3 linked regions of the Tamandua tetradactyla genome follow. The main gene of each other region encodes a partner of the protein of the gene in region 2 in a complex. Links are inferred from orthologs where the notes say so. Each region holds a gene or a part of one and is shown on either strand. Other genes may lie near its edges.

What was found.
Region 1: the proteins of NGFR (region 2) and TRADD are in contact, whole or in part, in an NMR structure (PDB 7CSQ), measured with the Homo sapiens proteins. The link is inferred for Tamandua tetradactyla from reciprocal best matches to the Homo sapiens genes NGFR and TRADD. Residues at the interface, in NP_002498.1 of Homo sapiens: Glu345, Glu346, Glu348, Lys349, Leu350, Asn352, Gly353, Ser354, Ala355, Glu379, Ala380, Cys381, Arg384, Glu420; in NP_001310481.1 of Homo sapiens: Thr201, Phe202, Asn211, Ala275, Glu276, Arg278, Arg279, Thr281, Gln283, Arg284, Glu287.
Region 3: the proteins of NGFR (region 2) and ARHGDIA are in contact, whole or in part, in an NMR structure (PDB 8X8T), measured with the Homo sapiens proteins. The link is inferred for Tamandua tetradactyla from reciprocal best matches to the Homo sapiens genes NGFR and ARHGDIA. Residues at the interface, in NP_002498.1 of Homo sapiens: Arg274, Trp275, Ser277, Cys278, Lys279, Gln280, Lys282, Gln283, Gly284, Ala285, Ser287, Arg288, Pro289, Val290, Asn291, Gln292, Thr293, Pro294, Pro295, Pro296, Glu299, Lys300, Leu301, Ile307, Ser308, Val309, Gln312, Ser313, Asp316, Gln317; in NP_001172006.1 of Homo sapiens: Ala8, Glu9, Leu11, Ala12, Gln13, Ile14, Ala15, Ala16, Glu17, Asn18, Glu19, Glu20, Asp21, Glu22, Val25, Pro30, Ala31, Gln32, Lys33, Ile35, Gln36, Glu37, Ile38, Gln39, Glu40, Leu41, Asp42, Lys43, Asp44, Asp45.

What each region holds. Positions count from the first base shown.
Region 1 is NC_135342.1:60,850,558-60,858,394, reverse strand, and holds the start of TRADD (tumor necrosis factor receptor type 1-associated DEATH domain protein), read left to right. Parts: upstream 1-4,835; 5' UTR 4,836-5,040; coding exon 5,041-5,170; intron 5,171-5,709; coding exon 5,710-5,868; intron 5,869-6,756; coding exon 6,757-7,034; intron 7,035-7,141; coding exon 7,142-7,349; intron 7,350-7,467; coding exon 7,468-7,778; 3' UTR 7,779-7,837. UniProt on the Homo sapiens protein: Adapter molecule for TNFRSF1A/TNFR1 that specifically associates with the cytoplasmic domain of activated TNFRSF1A/TNFR1 mediating its interaction with FADD.
Region 2 is NC_135332.1:30,679,251-30,686,692, reverse strand, and holds the start of NGFR (tumor necrosis factor receptor superfamily member 16), read right to left. Parts: upstream 3,069-7,442; 5' UTR 2,968-3,068; coding exon 2,905-2,967; intron 1-2,904. UniProt on the Homo sapiens protein: Low affinity receptor which can bind to NGF, BDNF, NTF3, and NTF4. Forms a heterodimeric receptor with SORCS2 that binds the precursor forms of NGF, BDNF and NTF3 with high affinity, and has much lower affinity for mature NGF and BDNF.
Region 3 is NC_135332.1:74,062,319-74,069,629, reverse strand, and holds ARHGDIA (rho GDP-dissociation inhibitor 1), read left to right. Parts: upstream 1-4,297; 5' UTR 4,298-4,404; intron 4,405-5,007; 5' UTR 5,008-5,076; intron 5,077-5,911; 5' UTR 5,912-5,938; coding exon 5,939-6,128; intron 6,129-6,236; coding exon 6,237-6,320; intron 6,321-6,549; coding exon 6,550-6,626; intron 6,627-6,701; coding exon 6,702-6,765; exon of another isoform or gene 6,766-6,942; coding exon 6,943-7,142; 3' UTR 7,143-7,270; downstream 7,271-7,311. UniProt on the Homo sapiens protein: Controls Rho proteins homeostasis. Regulates the GDP/GTP exchange reaction of the Rho proteins by inhibiting the dissociation of GDP from them, and the subsequent binding of GTP to them.

The sequences.
Region 1 (7,837 bases), on a different chromosome or scaffold from region 2:
GATCTTTCAGCCCGGGCCCTGGGGATGCTTCCTCGGTTGATCTGATCCTGTTACCCTGCTCGAGAACTCCCGGCTGCTCTCATCCTAGGGCCACCCGCCTCGTAAGAACGGCAAGCCCTCGAAGTCCGTTTCTGCGGGCAGTTCTTCCTGCTGTCTAACTTTGGGTGCGGTGTCTTACTTGCGCTACAGACCAGCAGACGTTGCCATGTACCTTCCCATATGAAAGAGGAACCCCAGATGCCAGCAGCCTTTCCTCAGAGAAGGTATCTTCCTCTTGATGCCTGAATTTGGACATTTTTGTGGCCTTAGAACTGTACATTTTAACCTAATAAAACCCCATAGAAAAGCCAACCCGATTTTTGGTATACTGCCTTCCAGCAACTTTAGCAAACTGAAAACCCTGGCCATTTTGCCAGGGAGGCGTGGGATCTGCCGCAGAGGAAAGCGGAGCAGGGGGATAGTGGGAAGGGCAGGAGCTGCCGGGAACCCGGGAGGCGGAACGCACTAGAGGACTGGGCGGCCCGGAATGGGGCGCCGCCCCTGCGCCTCCGCGCGCACACACGGAAGCGGCGCCGACAGAGCGGAACCGGGCGGGCGTGGGAACCCAGGCCCGGCGGAGGCGGCCAGGTTAGTGAGGAGGGTGGGTGGGCTCCCGGGTGCCACCAGGAGCGGAGGCGGAATCCGGGCTCCGAAGAGTGGGCGCGGCGTGGTTGTCACCCGCGGCTGCCCGGTCCTGAGGTGGGATGCCCGGGACTGTTGAGCTGCACTCCTGGGCCCTTGGTGGTAGGGGTGGATTTTCTTGGGTCGGTGGCATAGACCCAGCCCAGGAACCTAAGCCGGTTCCTCCGAGGAGCGGACTCGCCTTGGGTGGAGCTCCGGATTTCCCAAGGAGGGGATTCTACGGAAGGACAAGTTGGAAGGAACTTCCAAGGGGACGATGGCAGCCGAGGGCCCCTCAGCCTCTTCTCTACTCCGTTAACTGACCCTCTCGACCTCCAGCCCGGCAACCCTGTTTGCATTCCCCCATTTGCGGAGCCCTAGTGAGTGTGTTGGGCAGTCCCCCAATCTCGAGGTATCCCGCGCCCCCCTGGCAGACCCGACCGGTAGGCTCCTGCCCTTCCCCTCTCCCACGACGTCCCTTCTCTCCGACAGCCTTCGGTCAGCAGGTTAGAAAGACGTCAAAGGGGAAAGGTTTCAAGGGCCGGTAGGTTCCCACTGTCTCCTCTCCCCTTGGATGTCCCTGGGCCACTTCCTCAGGGCACCCCACTTGTTACCTGCAGAGTCTCACCCCACTGTGTTTTTTTTTTTTTTTTTTTTTTTATTAACGGAAAGAAAAAAAAGAAATTAACACAACATTTAGAAATCATACCATTCTACATATGTACTCAGTAATTCTTAACATCATCACATAGATGCATGATCATTGTTTCTTAGTACATTTGCATCAGTTTAGAGGAACTAGCAACACAACAGAAAAAGATATAAAATGTTAATATAAAGAAAAGAAATAAAAGTAGTAGTAATAGTAAAAAACAACAACAACAAACAAACCAACAAGCAAACAAAAACAAAAAAAAACCCTATAGCTCAGATGCAGCTTCATTCAGTATTTTAACATGATTACTTTACAATTAGGTATTATTGTGCTGTCCATTTTTGAGTTTTTGTATCTAGTCCTGTTGCACAATCTGTATCCCTTCAGCTTCAATTACCCATTGTCTTACCCTGTTTCTAACTCCTGCTGAACTCTGTTACCAATGACATATTTCAAGTTTATTCTCGAATGTCCGTTCACAACAGTGGGACCATACAGTATTTGTCCTTTAGTTTTTGGCTGGATTCACTCAGCATAATATTCTCTAGGTCCATCCATGTTATTACATGGTTCACAAGTTTATCTTGTCTTAAAGCTGCATAATATTCCATCGTATGTATATACCACAGTTTGTTTAGCCACTCTTCTGTTGATGGAGATTTTGGCTGTTTCCATCTCTTTGCAATTGTAAATAACGCTGCTATAAACATTGGTGTGCAAATGTCCGTTTGTGTCTTTGCCCTTAAGTCCTTTGAGTAGATACCTAGCAATGGTATTGCTGGGTCGTATGGCAATTCTATATTCAGCTTTTTGAGGAACCGCCAAACTGCCTTCCACAGTGGTTGCACCCTTTGACATTCCCACCAACAGTGAATAAGTGTGCCTCTTTCTCCGCATCCTCTCCAGCACTTGTCGTTTTCTGTTTTGTTGATAATGGCCATTCTGGTGGGTGTGAGATGATATCTCATTGTGGTTTTGATTTGCATTTCTCTAATGGCCAGGGACATTGAGCATCTCTTCATGTGCCTCTTGGCCATCCGTATTTCTTCTTCTGGTAGGTGTCTGTTTAAGTCTTTTTCCCATTTTGTAATTGGGTTGGCTGTCTTTTTGTTGTTGAGTTGAATAATCTCTTTATAAATTCTGGATACTAGACCCTTATCTGATATGTCATTTCCAAATATTGTCTCCCATTGTGTAGGCTGTCTTTCTACTTTCTTGATGAAGTTCTCTGATGCACAAAAGTGTTTAATTTTGAGAAGCTCCCATTTATTTATTTCCTTCTTCAGTGTTCTTGCTTTAGGTTTAAGGTCCATAAAACCACCTCCAGTTGTAAGATCCATAAGATATCTCCCAACATTTTCCTCTAACTGTTTTATGGTCTTAGACCTAATGTTTAGATCTTTGATCCATTTTGAGTTAACTTTTGTATAGGGTGTGAGAGATGGGTCTTCTTTCATTCTTTTGCATATGGATATCCAGTTCTCTAGGCACCATTTATTGAAGAGACTGTTCTGTCCCAGGTGAGTTGGCTTGACTGCCTTATCAAAGATCAAATGTCCATAGATGAGAGGGTCTATATCTGAGCACTCTATTCGATTCCATTGGTCGATATATCTATCTTTATGCCAATACCATGCTGTTTTGACCACTGTGGCTTCATAATATGCCTTAAAGTCAGGCAGCGCGAGACCTCCAGCTTCGTTTTTTTTCCTCAAGATGTTTTTAGCAATTCGGGGTACCCTGCCCTTCCAGATAAATTTGCTTATTGGTTTTTCTATTTCTGAAAAATATGTTGTTGGGATTTTGATTGGTATTGCATTAAATCTGTAAATCAATTTAGGTAGGATTGACATCTTAACTATATTTAGTCTTCCAATCCATGAACACGGTACGCCCTTCCATCTATTTAGGTCTTCTGTGATTTCTTTTAACAGTTTTTTGTAGTTTTCTTTATATAGGTTTTTTGTCTCTGTGTTTTTATTTAAAGTATTATTTTGCTATCCCATCTCTTGGTTCTTTTGGTTAGTGTCTGTTAATGACCCTCCTTTCCTACGTCTGTCCATCCTCCCTACCCTGAAACCCACAGAAAAAAGAAAAAAAAATATTATTTTGCTGTTTAAATAATAGACACAAATGTGTCTATTTTAAAGTAGAAAATACTGCTGGATACAAAGAAAATAAAAGTCACCCCAAATCCCAACTCCACAGAGATCAATAATGTTAAGTTCTTATTCATTGCCAGATTGTGGTTTTGGGTAAATACACAACATTTAGTATGTTTCTACCAAAAAGTTATTGGCAGGGGGAGGGGTTCAAGAATTCTGTCACCAGTGATCAGACGCAGGGAGGACCATTACCAGCGGTCCTTTCTCTCGCCTGGAGCTGGGCAATGTGGAAAGCCCCTACCAGGTTACGCTCCAATTCTGGCACTCAGCTTAAGGTCCGGGGGGATCTGAGGCACAATTTCTACTCTGAGCTCAGGACTCCTACACCCTCCCCAAACGTCCAACGCTATGGTTCTGGCTCCTCTTTTCTGGCGTCCTTTCCTCTGAGGCTCCCTGTCCCTCTTGTAAATAACCAGCTGGGGCCACCCAAATGTCCTGTGGAGAGCAAGGACATCCAGTGACTCACAGCTAAGGCTCAGCATTCCTCCTAGCCGAAGACCCAGAGTAAGAGAGTGTGACTGAGGGGACAGGAGGTGGAGTCTGGAGCCAATGTTTCCAAGAAAGGTGGGATGGGGCCTTGGATGGGAAGAGGAGAAAAGAGGCAGGGCAGTTCCCCACCTGCTGCCTCAGGGGACAGTGACTGGAAGGTCGCTGAGCTGAGGGTCAGTATGTTGCTTTCTTGTTTGTGAATTTACTCCCCTCTCCTCATCCCTGGTCAAGACCGGCCTTTGTCAGGAAGATAGAGGGAGGAGATACCTGTGCCAAGGGGTCCTGGCTCTCTGGCTGGACATGGAAAGAATCTGAAATAGAACCATATGTGTTGCAAATAACAAGAGCCCAGCTCTAGGACAAAAAGGAATGAGGTTGCAAGAAGTCCAGGGTACAACAGCTTCAGGGATAGCTGGATCTAGGGGCATAATGTGGTTAGACTCCTTATCCCTCTTTGTGGGATTCATTTTAAGTCAGACTCTCCCCAAGCAAGGCCAAAGAGACTTACCTCCTCCTACCAGCTCAGCCCCAAGGGAAGGGATGCTAGTTCCTCTTTTCTGTTGGTCCAGCCAGAGTTGCTGGGTTAATTCTGATTGGTCCAACTTGAGTCCTCTGCTTAGCTCTGAGTTCATTGCTGCACAAAGGGGATGGAATATGCTGAATGGCCAGGGTTTTCAGTTTGCTAAAGTTGCTGGAAGGCAGTATACCAAAAATCGGGTTGGCTTTTCTATGGGGTTTTATTAGGTTAAAATGTACAGTTCTAAGGCCACAAAAATGTCCAAATTCAGGCATCAAGAGGAAGATACCTTCTCTGAGGAAAGGCTGCTGGCATCTGGGGTTCCTCTTTCATATGGGAAGGTACATGGCAACGTCTGCTGGTCCTGTCTGGTTCTGGTTTCAGTGGCTGTCTCCAAATGTCTCTGGGCATTTCTCTCAGCTTCCCTGAGCTCTCTGAGTTTCATCTGCATTTTATCCTCTCATGGGGACTCCAGCAAAGGGATTAAGACTCAGCTTGAATGGCCTGGGTCCCATCTCCATGGAAACAGCCCAATCAAAAGGTCCTGTCCAACAATGTTTGCCCCACAGGGATGGATTAACAGAACATGGCCTTTTTATGGGGTACATAACAGCTTCAAATCAGCAACACCAGGCCAGACCTGGAGCCTAGGAGTGGAATTAACTCTCCCAAGAGTGAGAAGAGGTAGGGGCAATGCCCAAAGGTCAGTCAGTGTTGGGAGAGGGCTGGGCACTTTGCCCAGGACCAAAGTGCAGATATTCTTGGAAATGAAGCCAAGAGGCTGAAGAACAGTTGTAGTGGGAGTGCAGGTGCGAGTGTCTAAGGTTGAGACTGTTCCCGCAGGGATCTGGGGAGCTCATGTTTAAGCTGAGGGAACGACCAGGGCATGGATGCTATCCTTGGCTTTGAGTAAGAGAGACTGGTGGACCTGAGGAGGAGGTAGAGCCTCCGCTGTGGGATCAGATCTCTGCTCTCCTGCCACCGTGACCCTGGGCTTTTCCTGTGAGAAGGCAGGGAAGGGGTAGTTCTCACTGCAAGGCTGGGCTGGGCTCTGCAGGGCCAGAGGCACGTGGTGCTGCCTGTCAGATGGTGAACCCCTCTTGCCAAGTGTACCAGCAAGGTAGGGCTGCCACAGAGGGGCAGCTGGGCCAGGTGGGACTTGTCAGATCTGCCTCCAGGTCTGGGAGCGGGTGACTTGGGCCCCTGATTGTCTTTGTCTCCAGGAGCCGAGATGGCAGCTGACCCGAATGGGCCTGAGGAGTGGGTGGGCAGTGCATACCTGTTTGTGGAGTCCGCACTGGACAAAGCGGTCCTGTCTGAAGCCTATGCACATCCCCAGCAGAAGGTGGCCGTGTACAGGGCCCTGCGGATGGCACTGGCAGGTGCGTGGGTGGGTGGGTGTGTGGAGAGGAGGAGGGCCCTGTGCCCTGCCTGGGTTCTCTGTGGGTGCAGTCAGGGACGGAGGCCCTGTCTCCTAGGTTTGGTGGGCCCCAGCTCAGCCAGTGAATTAGGGAAAAGATCTGATCTGGGGGAGACCCCTGGCTACACAAGTTTTGTCTTCTCTGCTGAGGGCATGTGTGCCTGAGACATGTGTGGCCGTGTCTGTGTAGGCTCTACCTATTTGTGTGCTAACATCCCCCTGCTCAACCCCAGCTGACCCCACCCCAGGCCTGAAGGACCACTCCTTTCTACTCATCGCACTTTTCTCTTTTTCCCCTTTTCCTCTTGGGGAACACCCCTTGCCCAAGGTTCCTCCCCAGTGTCTGCTCTTCGTGGTCCCCCTTTCCTATCTCAGGGCAGAGGCCACAGGAGGCCGAAGCCATTTGGGGGACGTCGCCCCAGCCCTAGAGCAGCCAGAGTCCCTCTCCTTCCCGGGCAGCAGGAACCACACTGGTTGAGGCGGAAGAACTGAAACCTCCCGCCCCTCCACCGTCCTACCAGTCCCCTACTTCCCTCTCCATGCTGCCAAGTCCCTCACCAGGTTCCTTTTGCTCATCCTCATTTGGGGCTTCAGAGATGGGGGTGGGTAGTAGGCACTCCGCCTTGGGGTGCGCCCAGTAATAGGTCCTGGCCTTCGTTCTGTAATAGGTCCAGGCCTTGTTGCTGTTTGCATCCCAAGCTTGTTTACCACCTGAGTGTTCTGGGGTAACCCCACAGCCCCCCAGGTCTGGGGATGAGGGGATTTGACCTCGGGCTTCGCCCCTCCTCCTGCCACCCGGAGGATGACCCCACGTGGGGACCTCCGGGCTCCTGACTGCCCGCCTCCGCAGAGAGCGGCGGGAACCCGGACGTGCTACAGATGCTCAAGATCCACCGTAGCGACCCGCAGCTGATTGTGCAGTTGCGTTTCTGCGGGCGCCAGCCCTGTAGCCGCTTCCTTCGCGCATACCGCGAGGGAGCGCTGCGCGCGGAGCTGCAGAGGTGCTTGGCGGCAGTGCTCGCCTGCAACTCACTGCCTTTGCAACTGGAGCTGCGCGCCGGCGCCGAGCGGCTAGATGCTCTGCTGCCGGATGAGGAACGCTGCCTGAACTGCATTTTCACCCAGAAGGTGTGGCTTCGCTGAGTCTAGGATGGGGCGGGTTGTGGGGGGTGGAGGGGAGGGGAGGGGGAGCTGCGCTCCCAAGATTCCTACCGACGTCGCACTCCCTTACTTAGCCGGATCGGCTCCGTGATGAGGAACTTACTGAGCTGGAGAATGCTCTCCGTGGCCTCTCGTGCGGCCCGGGAGGCCAGAGTGGCGATGTGGAGGTCCCTCCCGCACCCTCTCAGTCCCCAGTCCTCTCGCCGTCCACAGCCTCCTACCGGTCAGAGAAGCCGCCACCGTCACCTGGCCAGACTTTTCTGTTCCAGGGTCACCCCGTAGGTAAGGCGTGCACAGAGAGTCAGGGTCGCCAGGAGGAGTAAGGTTGGGGAGGGTATTGGCTGTGGACTACCTCCCCCCGCCACCCCCTACTGCTCACTCTACTCTCCTTCTCCCGCAGTGAACCGGCCGCTGAGCCTGCAGGACCAGCAGACTTTTGCGCGTTCAGTGGGCCTCAAATGGCGCAAGGTGGGGCGCTCGCTGCAGCGTGGTTGCCGGGCGCTGCGGGACCCAGCGCTCGACTCGCTGGCTTATGAGTATGAGCGCGAGGGGTTGTATGAGCAGGCCTTCCAGCTGCTGCGGCGCTTCGTCCAGGCCGAGGGCCGCCGCGCCACGCTGCAGCGCCTGGTGGAGGCGCTGGAGGAGAACGAGCTCACCAGTCTGGCAGAGGACCTGCTGGGCCTGGCTGATCCCGATGGCGGTCTGGCCTAGGCCAGGTACTGATGCCAGGAAAGGTGCAGTCTGCCAGGCTGGGCTTGGAGCACCTCAGT
Region 2 (7,442 bases):
TTTTGAGGTTGAAGGAAATCCAGGGAAGGCATGAGTGTTGAGGTGTTGATTGGGGTGGGGGGTGGGAGCCGCAAGCTAATGACCTGGGATGATACTGCATGTATATTTGAGGGGAGGTAGGGAGGCTCTGGGTGGAAAGAAGGGGAATTAGATTCCAAATTTGTGGTACCAAGGACTTGAGCATGGATCCAGTTTCCGGAGTTGGTCGCCATTCACGGCCACGCATCGCCATGACTAGAAGGGAGGTGCTAGCCTGGCGTAGGACGGAAGAGTGGATTCAGAGCCAAACTCCTGGGTTCCAACAAGGGCCCACCACTCGCTCGCTGGGAGAGACTGTTCTCCTGCCTAAAGAGTCTGGGAGGTCCAGCTTCCTCCAATGTAAGATGGGAGTAACTCTGCTGGGACTTTACAGGGATTACATAACGCAAGAGAAAGTCCTCAGGACATGCGTGGCACATAGTAGGTATTCAACAAATCGTATTATTTTCGCCTGCCCATCCACGCCCCCTCGGGAAGAAAAGAGGAGCGTGAGCGCGACTGGGCTGCTACAACCGGGTGGGCCCCCCCCCCCCCCCAAGCCCGGCCTCTCCCGCCTGCCCATTTGCTGCCTTAGCTGCATCCCTATTAGGCGCATTAGCCAGCCCGGCGGCTCCGGTTACAGACGTCTGAATGACAAAGTGCCTCCATTACCGGCGCGTCCCGCCAGCCCAGCCGCGGGGAAGCGCTCTGGTTTCAGCACTCTCTCGCCGCGGCCCAGGAAGAAACCTGGACGGAGGCAATGCGCTGTCGGCTCACACAGGGCAGCCCCGGCGTCGAGGCTGCAGGTGGCGGATTCTGCGCAGGACTCCACTTCCCGAGGCCGCAGGCCCTCCACACCCAGCTGCCTCCCTCCTCTTCTCTCCTCTACTTGGGAGCCACACTCCTGCCGGGATCCGGAGCCGCCCCTCCTGGATCCACGCCACTGGCCGCCCCAGTACCCCCCTCACCCCGCACCAGAAGCAGTTCCTCCGGGAAGCATTAGTCAGCAACCATGCCCGCAGTCAATCCCAAGTCCCAGGACGAAGCCACAGGTACTGACAGCTCCAGGGGACCAGGGCTAAGATTCAAGGATGGGGCCCGCGTCCGGAGAGGGTCCCTGCCTACCACACCCTTATATTCCACTGCGGACCTGACTTTGAGAGAGGTGTCAACCTCGGCCCCCCTCAACCCCCCACCCCGAAACGCAGCTCTTATCCCGGGCTGGGGAGCCAGCTGCCCTTAAGGGGTGGGGGGTGCAAGGTTCTGAGCTGGAAATCAGGTGATGGGGCGTTTACTTATGACTCTGCCCCAACTTGCTTGTGGGATCTTGACCAAGTCGTTTCAATCCTTAGAGCCTCAGTTTCCTTCTCTGTGAAACGGGAAGTCGGGGCGCGATGCTCAGGTGAGAGATGAAGATGGCAAGGGGAGAGTGAGGACGCCGCCTTCACTGCCAGACCTTCCGGGGCACTCAGTTTATAGCCACACACTAGATCACATTTCCTGAAAACCTTGTCAGAATACTGGGAAGACTCAGAAGCTTCGAGGACCCGCCGTCCTTTGCCGAGTTGGTGCTAAAGGACACGGCCAAAGAATCCAAGGCGTCCTGGCGCCCCCATCTCGCTCGCCCGACGGCGTCCACCCAAAACCGGGCGGGGCGCAGGCGGGATCCCGACCCTTCTAGGTGCACTCACGGAACTCGGGGGGGGGGGGCGGGGCGGGGGGGGCGGGGACGGTGCGCGGTCTTAGGCTCGGACGCAACTCGGGGTGGCACAGCTGTCGCGCCGCAGCACCCCCTGTGGGCCGCCTGCGGTCTACGCGGCCCGACACCACGCTGCCCCGATGGTCCCCGCCTAGAGCGCCGCGCTCTTTGCACCCCGCGGGCCGCCGCGAGACCCACTCGGGCGACGCCCGCTCCAGACCTCCTGGTCCTCCGCCCGGCTTCAAACCGCGAGACCCCGCGCGCCGCTGGAGCCCGCCGGCCGTGGGGGAACCCGGAGAGCGAGCTGGCCCCTGCGAAGTGGGCGCCCCCCTCGCCGCCCCGGCTGCCCAGCCGCAATTCGCAGACTAGGCAAAGCTGCGAGAAAGAGCGCGGGAGCCGGGCGGAGAAACGTCCCATGTCTCCTGCGCATCCGTGTCTCCGATCTTCCTTCATGTCCCTCGGCGGGCAGACGGGACCCCGACCGCGTTAGGGTTCGCACCCTGTTCTCGGTCCTCTTTTCTTTTGCTTCCACCTCTTCACTGCCTTCACCATCGTCCCTTTTCCGCCCTCCCAACCCATCCGTACTCCCTCCTCAACTGCCCTCGCGCTCTCGGAACCTCTCCCCCCGACGCCCCTCCCCGCCATTGTCTGGCAGGTCCCCATTGTCCGATGCCCGGTCCCCTCTGCCTCTCGTCCCTTCAGCCTCTTCCCTCATTGTTCCATCCCCGCGTCTCCGTTTCTCTGCCCCAGGCTCCCTCGTCCCTCCCATCTCCAGTCCCGGTCCCATTCCCTTCCCTTCGCCTCACTTCGGTCCCACCACCTTGCAGTCCCCTCGAGATCCCGTCATTCCTAAGCCCTCTTCGGAAGAACTCAGGCAGCCAAGAGCGCCCTGACCCTCTGCTGAGACGCCCCTCTCAGCTCCTCCCGCATCCTCCCGCAGTACCCGAAAGCAGACATCTGCGCGCCCGTCTTGTCCGCATTTCTAGCCTGGAACCCAGAGACGCCTCTACGCTGGGATAACCCCAGACGCTCCTCTGAGGCTCCGGCATCGGAGCCCCTCTCCCGCCACCCACCTCCAGCATCTGGGACCCCAACACTCTGTTCTTTCTCTCGGGTGGCGGCTCCCGGATCCCCTCGGGATTCCGATTCGTGGGACGGAAGCGGACTCCCCTCCGACTATCACTCACCCCCAGGAGCAGCAGCAGCAGGCGTGGCCCGTCCATGGCGCGGCTGACGGCACCTGCCCGCATCGCCCGCCTCCCGCTGCAGCGCGCGTGTTCCAGCTCAGTCCGCTCCGCGGACCGGTAGGGTTGCGCTGCGCCCCAGCGCCCGCCTGCCGGCCGGAGCTGGCTGAGCCTCGGCTCGCTCTGACTGCCGGCGGGAGGGGCTGGGTGAAGCCAGTGCGGCCGCCCCGCCTCTTCCCCGCCCAGCCCGCCCACCCCCGGAACCGCGCCCGCCCGCCCCGCCGCCTCCGGGAGGGAGCCAAGGGGAAAGGAGGGTGTGCGGAGAGCCGCGCCCGCGCGCCCCGCTGCCGCTTCTCCGCGCGTCCTGGGCCTCAGAGCCTCTCACCCACTCCGCCCCGGTACCCTGTGCCCGGCTCGCGCTATTGCGCGTGGCCCGCAAACTACCCAGGGTCTAGGGCGTCCCCACTGTGGCTCGCGTTTCTCTCCGGCTGTGGCCCTCACGGGGTTCTCTCTCTTACCCACCTTCCTCCGCCTCTAGCTTCGCTTCCCCTGCTCCCTCCCCAGCAGTTATCAGTAGCGGTGCCCACTTCGCGCCACGCCTATCTCGCGCCCGCCCCAGTGCGGTGTTCTCTGTGCAAGGGCCTAGGGGGAGGGAGGGATGGCAGGTGGCCCGAGCCTGTGCGTGTGTGTTTGTGCGCGCGCTTTGCGGGGCCATACAGGAGAGGCCCGCCCCGACATCATTCAGATTCTCTAGTGATGGGTTTGAAGGGATCACAAGTAGGTGTGCACACAAAACACTGGAATACACACACATACACTCTCGAACTCACATCTATTTGTGTTCCCACACTCACATAAGCCCACACCATCCTCTTGCACACGTGTTCACCTGCACGTTCTACACGTTTGGTGAATGGGAAACCGCGAACATGCATATGCATCTCCACATGTCTGCACACACACACGCACTCTCATTGCACATGGAGACATAGCATTCAAATGCACATACTCATCTACACAGCCACATGCACGGATACGATGCCACACATGTATGGTCACATGAACACCGGCCGTCGTATGTTTATAGTCTCTCATACGTGCACACATATTCATGAACACACACACACCCATACACAAACACACAGATGCATCCTTAACAATATAGACTTCACTGAACCGTTTTCATTAGATCAAAAGCTAATCATCTAATGAACGTTGCCTTCTTGTCTGAATGTCTGGTACATAGTAGATGTTCAATATTGAAGTTCTGTAGGATGGAAGAAAAGGATAAGCGGTTGGACAGACTCACAGAGAGATACACTCTCTCTCTCCATGTGTCCATGTACTATGTAGGTGCAGGATGAGGGCGGGAGTCTCCAAGCAGAGACAGTTTCTATCCCCAGGACCACACTCACCACGCTCTAGAGAGCTCTACGGGCCCACATCAAAGAACCTCCACCCAGGGGCTGTGCTGAGGGAGCAGTCTCTGCTGCTCACTTCCTGTCTGTCCTCATCCTTTCCCCGTCTCCAGATATGCAGGCTCTGGAAGACAGAGCGTGGGGAACAAGTCTACAGAACCCACCCACCCCCTGCGTCCTGATTTGGCCATGCCTAGACCTCAGTTTCTTCTTTGGAAAAATGGCACCAGCTTCCCAAATCACAGGAATGTGGGGAGATCAAGAGCACTGGCGAAGAGGGCCTGCTATCACTTGTTAGGTGATTTCTTAGATCAGCTGAAGTTCATTCATGCATTCACAGAAAAACGAAGTTCGCCCTCTGAACTTCTTTCCCAAATACCTAGCAAAGTCTGGGGAACAGACCCGGGAGGGACAGGTGGGCAGCATCTAATGGCCTTGAGCCCCACTCTTGGTGATGAACCCTTGTCTCCGTCTTTGGGTATAAGAGCTTGGACAGCCAGCATTGACTCAGCGGTCCCTGAGGCTTTTCTCTTGGACAGAGACGGTCTCTAAGATGTCTGCTCCTCCTGCTGCTTTTACTGACCTGCCTTTTCCCTCAGTGGAATTCGTGGAAAGCAGAAAGGGGCAACATTAGTACTAACGGCAGCGTCAAGCTGCCGACTACCAAGGGTATCGATGGTGTGGCATCAATTTAAATACTCCTGTTATTAATTTATGACTGGTTACTATTATTGCCAAGGTTATCCATCTCAACACCATTTAATATGACCCACAGTACCATGACTGGGCCTGGCTTATTAATAATTTCCATCGCCTTGATCATTTAAGCCTTACTCCAACAATCACAAACAGCAATTGTTCCTATTATTAGCAGTATTTCTATGATTAAGCCTGAGCCCAAGACCACGATGTAATGCTGAGTGCTGGCGGGGAGAGGGGTGTGCAGAGGAAAAACCAGCAGCCTGGATTCAGGGCTGGGTAGGAAGGCCTGCCCTGTTCCCCCCTGCTTCCTCCTGTGTGGTCGCAGGCAGGTTACTTCACCTCTCTCAGCTTCTTCACTTCTCAGGTGAAGAAGCTTCACCTCTTCTCAGCTTTCTTAATGAGAATTTAAGAAAAGCTCCCATTCTGAAGGGCATGATGAGAAATAAAAGAGGTAACAGAGGTTCATCACAAGGAGACACTCAATCCCCTTTTATTCATTTGACGCATTTATTGAACACCTACTGTATGCCATGCTCTCTGTTTTAGGCCCTGGGGATTCAGTGGTGGACAACAGCAATGGCCTACGTGGAGCAGATTTTCTAGTGTGTTAGTTACTGGACGGGAAGGGTTGTTTTATAATGTGACACCTCGGCCTGACCATACCACGGCTAGCCTAGCTCCGATGAGGATATTCTGTCTCTGGGACCACCACCGTCACCCCAGCCACCACAGCACCCTCTCCATAGTCACTCCCACCACGACTGCCCCTGCCACGGCCACCCCCACCACCTCATCAACCTCCCTGCATCGGTTCCACCACTAGCAGTGGGGATTCCTGTTCCAGGTGAGAGTGATATGGGTGTTTGGGTTCCTTTCCCTGGGAACAATAGTGGAGGCCCCACAGAGCCTTTGCCTGCCCACGTCTAGCTCCCTAGTGGTCTTAACTCCTAGCCCCCACATGGGCGCTCTTCAAAAACTTCTCCCTGGCCTGGCAAGTCCCACACTCTCCCAACCCCCCTTTCCTCCAAACTGCAGTACCTGCAGTCACAGACCAGGATGGGGATGGGATGCAGGGAGAGGGATCTTAGGAGTTGGCCAGAAAGTGGGGCCAGAGAGGCAGCTCCAAGGGGCAGGAGCTTTCCTGGAGGGTCCCCCAGAACCAGCACCCATAATATAACTACACATATAGAGGGTCACTTCCCCCACTATACCCCCCACCCAAGGCTTCCTGAGCCCAATAGTGACTAAGGTGAAAGGGTTGAGGATATCAGTGCAGTTCTGCGTGGAACTGGGAGTGGAAGTGGGGGGTCAAACTACATCTTCAGGTATCCACATGGGAGGGGCTAGCCACTCCCCTATCCCCCTCACCACCCTACCTTCACCCTGCCCATCTAAGGAGGCAAGCTCCCCCGTAGTACTCCCTGCCATCCCATTCTATTAGACTCCCACCTCAGCTCTCTTTCCCTCTATGCCCTCTGTCTCCAGCTGATTGGAGAAATCAGCTTGGAGGCCCCAACCCACTTTCAAGCAGAAACCGGAAAGCAGATAATGAGACTTCATGAGTGTTGAAACCCCCAACGGGCCAAGAGATCCACCCAATCATTTCCCTTAATCCCCACTGCAACTCCGTGGAGGAAGTTCTAGGCCACCATTTTACAGATGAGGAGACCGAGGCTTAAAGTGATTTAGCCACTTGCCCAAGAGCCCCCAGCAGGAAGCAGCAGTACCACAGTACCACGAGTGGCCACTGTGCCTCACAAGGTGCTCTCCCCCCTCCCCCCATCACACTCTCCCCATTAACCCCTCATCTCCAGGTCACTCCTCCCCTCCATCCCAGCCCCTCCAGCCTTCGCCCCTACTCGATGGGTGGGGTGGATAGGACCTCCATCTCAGAGGTGCTGAGCTCCACCCTTGCATACTGCTCAGATTTTGGCTTTGGGGGCCTGGGTAGGATGGGCAGGGCCGAGCCGGGAAGTGATCTGTGCCTTTTGATTAAAGGCATAATCTCCAAACTTTCTTAGTGGGCGCTCTCTTTTCCTGATTTGGGAGGAATCACCTCCCCTATCCCCCACTTCCAATGTCCAGCCAGAAAAGGCATGAAGGGAAGTGGATAAGGAGAATTTTCAAGGGAGAGAGACAAGGGAGAGGGAAGGAGGAGGTGCCGGGCCTCCCCAGCTGCATCCAATCTGCCCTGGGCAGGTGGCCAGGCAAGGTAAGTGAAACCCACCGCCCCCCATGAGGAGCTGGCTCAGTGGCTTTGAAGCGTGATGCAGTGATTACCTTTGGGGGGGGGGAGGTGCGGTCTGGGGACTGGCTTGGGATCAGTGCGGTTTAATTCTGGAGCTGAATTAGTAGTGAGAGGGGTGGGAGGAATTAGTCAATTTTGGAGTCCAGTTAGATTAACTCAAGCGTCAAAGTGGG
Region 3 (7,311 bases), about 43 Mb from region 2:
GCCGTGTTTTAACCTTGATCCAATCTTGTGGGTTTCTTTTAATCCGGGGTCAATATTGTAGGGCGGAAACTTTTGATTAGAATACTTCCACCGAGATGTGACACGCCCCATTGTGGGTGTGACCTTTTGATTAGATGGAGATGTGAATCATCCATTTCAGATGGGTCTTAATTAGTTTACTTCGGTCCTTTAAAGAGGAAACAATTTTGGAGAGGGCTCAGAACAGAGACATGGATGTTTGGAGATGCTTGGAGCCCAGCAGATGTCACCATATGCTTTCCCATGAGATGTTAAGTGAGCCAGAACCTGGAGAGAGCCAAGGGAAACCAAGAGATGAAAGCCAGCCCAGGAGAAGCAAAGCGATGAAGTGCCCACAGGAACAAAGACCTAAAGCAAAGGAGCCTAGGGGCACAGGAGCAGCAGATGCCAGCCACGTGACTTGGCAGCTGACAGAACTGCTCCAGACCCACTGGCTTTTCTTAAATTAAGGTCTCTTTCCCTGGATGCCTTAGTTTGGACATTTCTATGGTGTTAGAACTTTAAGCTTGTAATATAATAAATTCCCTCTTTAAAAGCCATCCATTTCTGGTATATTGCATTCCGGCAGCTTAACAAACTAAAACATGGGCCCAACCACACCTGGCTTCTTCCACGCCCAAAAGACACAAGCACCAAAAAGGAGATGAGAGGCACGTTATCCAAGTGCAAAGTGTGGGGAATAAACCAATCGGGAAAAAGGCTGGGGGCTCGGGTAAAATTGAGTGTGTGGATGTCATGGTCAGGTTCATGTGTCAACTCGGCCAAATGATGGTTGGGCAAGCGCTGGCTTGTCTGTTGCAATGAGGACACTTCAAAGAATTAAATCATGAGCATGTCAGCTGCCTCCACAGCTGATTCCATTTGTAATCAGCCAAAGGGGCGTGTCTTCTGCAATAAGTGATGCTTAATCTAATCACTGAAAGCCTTATAAGGAGGATTCAGAAGAAACAGGCTTCCAGTTTCAGCTGGCGAGCCTCTCCTGTGAAGTTCGTCCAGACCCTCAGAATCGTCGCCTTCACAGCCTACTCTGCGGATTTGGACTCTGCGTTCCCACGGTCACATGAGACACTTTTATAAATTTTATATTTGCGAGTGTTCCCTGTTGATTCTGTTTCTCTAGAGAACCCTAACTAATACAGTGGATTACCTGATAATATTAAAGCTTTTTTTTTTTTTTTAACTTTTATTGTGGGAACATTTACAATGTATGTAACATTTCCCACTTTAAGCCCTTTGAATTCTACAATTCGGTGTATTGATGGCATTCATGGTGTGAGCTCCCATCTCCACTGTCCCCACCCTGTAAGGGATAGTGAGGAAATCAGAAGTCCAGTGGCTGCACAGTGACCTGTTCCCCAGCATGGCCCCGGGTATCAGATCCCCTGCTATACAAAGCAGCACCGACCATCCTTGTAACTAAACCTTTGCACACAACTGTGATTTGTTTGGACTTTTATTTTGATCTTTATGGTGACATAACAAAGTTATGAGCATGACATAACTTTGAAGGGCCCACTTCAGTGGCCCCTCACCACCATCCATCAGCGGCATTTGCCCAACACTGCAAAACCATCCAGCACTTTCCTCCAGATGGATTCCATATGACCTGCTGGGCAGGTCAGCCTGGCAGCACCTGCATCCTGCATGCTCACAGCACTTGGAACTTTTTTTTTTTTAATACCAATTTGATAGAAGGCTCAAAATAGTGTCACTTGTCCACTGTGATGATGTGAAAGCAAAGCACCACCTCACACCCAGAGGATCTTGGGTCCTGGAGGGCTGGCACAGCCTGCAGGAAGCAGACAAAAGCCATGTGCCTGCACACTGGAGCACGGGCAGGCGCCAAGACACCACAGGACCAGCGATTGTCCTTCCAGCAAGGCCAGGAGACACAGAAAGGACCAGCCTCTTGGTCAGCTCATCTCAATGTTGGCAATTTACCTCTGTTCTCATTCAAACAGGAAGTAACAAACTCCAGGCATTCGAGGAGAGCTGGCTGCAACTACAACATGACGAATTTTTGTGAATTTTCTTGGTGTTCTGGGTACACCTCACAGCTCAGTAGTGTAAACCAGCTGCTGTTTTGTGATGCCAGATTCTGCAGGTGGTGAGGTGAGAGGCCAGGTAGGGGCCTCTGCGCAAGCCAGGGTGTGGGGGTAGGTCCACGCTAGACCACCTGGCTCTTATGTCTCAGGTTTTGGGATTGCGAGAAGCAAGGTCCAATGGCCTCCTGGTTGCCTGGATGTGCTTTGGTGCCAAGTCCCTGGAGCCAGCATGGGATGCAACCTCTGGAGGCCTTGGAAGGAGTGACTACTTTATGCATAAGGGGAATGTGAATAATTTGCAGTTCCATTAAAGGTCACACATCCTTGGCTTCTCTTCCTGATGAGCCCTCCCACCGGGGCTGGCCTGGGCCATGGCTCAGCCTGCAGAGGCGTGGTTCTAGCTCTTCTAAAGTGAAGTTGCAGAAGTCTGATGAACTTTCATTTTGGAGCCCTGCCCTGAAGGAGAGGCCTAACTCCCTTGGGAAGAGGACCTGTCGGGGGGCCCCCAGTGAACAGTGGGAGCTGCCAGCAGGGCACCGAGCTTTCAGACACAGACCTTTGGGTGGCTCCAGCACAGTTCCCATCTGACTGCAATGGGGCGAACAACCCAACAGAGTTGACTTGACCCAGAGAACACGAGAGAATGAGGCATTACTGCTTCAAGCCACCACAGTGGACTGGCTTGTTACGTAGCTGAAGATGTTCCTGAAACAGGTGGAGGACGTGGCTATTGTTTAAAAAAAAAAAAAAAAAGCTTTTTCTTGTAAACTGGCCCTGAAACATCTATGCTTGACGAGAAGTCTGAGATTTGCTTCCAGGTTGCGGTGCATGGGAGGAAGGAGACTGGCTACGAGGAGCAGCTGTGGGAGCTCGGGCCAGGCCCACTGGGTTCGGGACACACTAGTCTTTCTACCTCCGTGGAGGTGGTGGGCAGCTTCTAGGGTGGCCCTGGGGAGCCCACCTCTGGGAGCTGATGTCCTTGCCTCCCGTGTGACCAGGAGGCTGGGGCAGAAGTGATGGCCGGCACTTCCAAACGCAGGGACGAGATCGAGTGCCTGCTTGTTCTCTCTCTGTGGCCTGCAGCCCATAGCCATATGAGTGGCTTGGAAGTGGATCCTCTGGGTTTGGCTCCTCGGAGACCACAGCTTCCAGGGAGACCCTTAGCCAAGGACCCCCCAGCTCAGCTGCTCCAACCTCAAGCCAGATAATAAACGGTGGTTGTAAGATTCTAACTTTCAGGGCAGTTTTTCATCCAGCAATCTGTCACTAATAAAGTGTATTAGGAAATGTTCTATCCTAGAGGTGTGTGTGTGTGTGTGTGTGTGTGTGTGTGCTTGTGTGTGTGCAAGCATTTGGGTTACCAGGCAGCGGACTTCCTCAAGCAACTAATGACTCAAACAGGAGTACCAGCTCCACTGGAACATTCAGCCTCTACGGCAGCAGCGGGGAAACCTCAAAAGCAACTTCACCATCCAAAAGAAAGGAAGCCTTGCTTTTGGCCCGGCTAAACTCCCTGCGCTGCCAACTCTTAGCCCAGAAGATCCCAAGATAGTCCTCAATAATCACAAACGTTCCAAAAGCAACCAAGGTCAGTATCTGTCCAGCACTCTCGCAGAGACTGCTCTCGGGTGCTGAGTTTCCGAGGCGGGACAACACAGGTGTGCGTGTGCTGTGCCGGCGTCTGCCCGAGCCCGGGGAGGGTGGCCTGTCCAGAGCCAGGCCGTGGCCCTGCTACCCGCGGCCGGACAGCCAGCAAAGAACGCTCTGGTCCGTCCTGGGTGCTTGAGGGATGGCCTACTGTAGTACCGTACGCAGGGCGACATCTCCCGTTTCAAGGCACTGTTTGATTGCGATTCTGCCGAGGGCCGAGGTGAGAGCGTGGGGCTTGTACCGGGCGGGTCGGCGGGCGGCAGGGTTCCCGGGGGTCCAGGGGAGGGAGACAGCAGGACGGCCCGCGGCGCTGGCGAAGAGCACGCTAGGCCCAGGGCCTGGGCAGGAGCCGGCCCGCAGCTTCCGGGCCCGGAGGAAAAGGCACAGGCGGCGGTAGGGGGCGGTCCAGCTGCCGGCAACCGAGCGCCCCTCCCACGCGCAACGCCGGCCTACGGCCTTTTGGGGTACCGAGGCCTCCCCGCCGCGCGTACTCGCGGCCCTCAAGATGGCGGCGCGCGCCCCTGCCGCCCGCGCATGCGCCCTCGTCGACCCCGCCCGGCCGGAGCGGAAGTCGCGTGACCCCGGAAGTGACCGCGGGCGCGGGTGGGGCGGCGGCGACGTTCGTCATTCGGTGCGGAGGGAACGCGAGCGCCCGCGATCGAAGCCTCCGGTGGGTGCCCGCCGGCGCGGGGCGCGGGGACGAGGGGGCCCGGGAGTCAGGGGCGGTGCCGCGGGCGGTGGCGGCGGGCGGGGCGGGACCGCCTTTGTTCTCGCCGCCCCCGCGCCCCGCCCCACGGCGGCCGCCCCGGGGTCCAGGCGGGCGCGGGGCGCGCAGGGCCGGCGGGGCTGGGGCTCGCGGGGTGCGGGCAGCCGCCACGTGAGGAAAGGGGGCGGCGAGGCCCTTCTTTGGGCGGCACGTCTGCAGCTCCTAGCTGGGCCGGGCGGGGCCTAGGGCGCGCCCCTCCCCTGGGAACGGAGCGCGCGTGGGCGCCCGGCCGGGGTCGTGGTTCCCCTGTGCTTCTCGCTAGCGATCCCGCGGCCTGGGGCGGTGTCCCGAGCCCCTCTCCTCGGGCCTCCGTGCCCCGCCCGGCCGCGCCCGACCGCGCCCGGTCGGGATTGCTGCGCTCTGCGCGGAAGATCGTGCCCCTGGGGCCGAGGGTGCCCTGCGGCTACGCTGCTCCAGCGGGCGAGCAGGAGGCCTGGGAAGGGCTTGGGCCACCCCCGGCAGGCGGCAGCTCGCGGCCCCATGACACTGAATCCTTAATGTTGGCAGGTCTGCTCCGGGCTTGTCGCCTCCCGAGTGCGCCGAGATCTCGTGGCTCCCACTGACCGGAAGGATCGAGTGAGTGGGTTATAGAGAGAACTGCTGGGTTCCTCAACGGTGGTAGCGGTATCCTAGCAGGGAGTACGCTGCCCCGGACTTCCTGGGTCCTGAGAGGTCTGAGTGGTCCCCGCGGTTTCTCAGGCCTTGGTCACAGACTCTCACAAATGGAGAGGGCCTTGGCAGAAGCCCGGGGCCCCCACTCCCCTGAGACCCCTGCAGGGCTGGAGCTTTGTCTCTGGCTGCGGCTGGGGGAGGGACAGCATCCGTTGCCAGGAAGACCTAGTTCAGTGACCTGTGGGGGTGGGGGTATCACTTGGCATGTGTGAAGCAGCAACAGGGCCAGGGGCTTGGCTGGCGTGGGAGATGATTTAGCTCGAGGCCTACCAGTCGTGGGGTCCGGGGCCCACCTAGAGCCCCCTGTGCTGCACAGGAGGGCTGTGGGGCTGGGAGACCAGCCTGGCCTGGGTCATGTGGTATCCATGGCAGTGGGATGAAGTAGGGTGTGACCTGTGTCCTGCTGTCTCTTGATGCCAGAGGATGCCCATGGAGTCCAGGTGTCACGAATTGGGGTGGGCTCTGGACCACCCAGCAGAGCTGCCTGAGACAAGCAGGGCAAGGGGGTGCCCCCGTGTCTCAGGCTGTTCCTCTGGTGACTGGAAAGCTCAGCTGCAGAGGGAGGCCCCCTCGGGGCCCTGTGTGGCGAGGCCAGCTCTGCCGATGGCCCTCTTCAGCACAGTGCTAGCCGAGCTGGCAGCCTGGCCTGCAGCAAGGGCTGGAGGTGGCCCCAGTTTGACAGACTAGCAAACAGCTATATCAGAAGTCCAGGCTGCCACAGCCCAGTACTGTGCCCCAGGTGTCCCCGACCCGGCTCGTGGTGAGCATGGCCGAGCAGGAGCCCACGGCCGAGCAGCTGGCACAGATTGCAGCCGAGAATGAGGAGGATGAGCACTCGGTCAACTACAAACCCCCCGCGCAGAAGAGCATCCAGGAGATCCAGGAGCTGGATAAGGATGATGAGAGCCTCCGCAAGTACAAGGAGGCCCTCCTAGGCCGCGTGGCCGTGTCTGCTGGTGAGGCCCCTGCGGCCCCCTCCAGGGACACCTGTCACCCCATATTCCCACACTGCACCCCACCTCTGTGCAGAGGGGTGGAGTTCTGACTACCTGTCTTTCTCCTAGACCCCAACGTCCCCAACGTTGTCGTGACCCGCCTGACCCTGGTGTGCGGCACTGCCCCGGGCCCCCTGGAGCTTGACCTGACAGGTGAGGGTGCTGCCTGCTGCCGTGCTGCTATCCCTAGGGCCTGCTGCCCCCTGCTGGGAAGCTGAGCAGGTGCAGCCCGGCGGGCTGAGCCTTGGCTTTGTGAGCCAGGATACTGCCGGTTGCAGGGGGCCCTGCATGGGCCGGGTGGTGGTGGGTCCCAGGTCTAACAGGCAGCGGGGAGCTATCCTGCTCTGAACTTTTTGCTGATGCGTGTTCTCCTTTTGTCTAGGTGACCTGGAGAGTTTCAAGAAAGCGTCTTTTGTGCTTAAGGAGGGGGTGGAATACCAAATAAAAATTTCTTTCCAGGTAAGGCAGGGGCCGGGGGACCTCAGGGGGTGAGGCCTGGAGAAGCCCCCTGACCCTCTACCGGCATCCTTGCAGGTGAACAGGGAGATTGTGTCCGGCATGAAATACATCCAGTACACGTACAGGAAAGGGGTCAAGAGTGAGTGTGGGCAGTGGGCCCCGGCTGCCTGGGAGGTGATTGGCCCTGCAGGGAGTGGGTACAGGTGCCTGACGGCTCTGGGACCCGCAGGAGTGAGAGGCAGGGCTGTGCGTGTGTGTCCCTGTGGATGTGCCTTCCCGTCCCCATGCTCACTGCTGTCCTCCCCCTCGGCCACAGTTGACAAGACTGACTACATGGTGGGCAGCTACGGGCCCCGGGCAGAGGAGTACGAGTTCCTGACGCCTATGGAGGAGGCACCGAAGGGCATGCTGGCCCGGGGCAGCTACAACATCAAGTCGCGCTTCACAGACGACGACAAGACTGACCACCTGTCCTGGGAGTGGAACCTCACCATCAAAAAGGAATGGAAGGACTGAGGCCAGGCCTGGGAGGCGGCAGGGACGGACAGACATACCCCATCCCTCTCTATCCTCCCTGTCCCCATCCCCAGACCAAAGTGCTGACAGGGCCACCCCTTTGCCGCCTGCCCTTGCCCCATCTGCCTCCCGGCCGAGCTCTCCCAACCCTCCCTGCACCCCTCCCCAG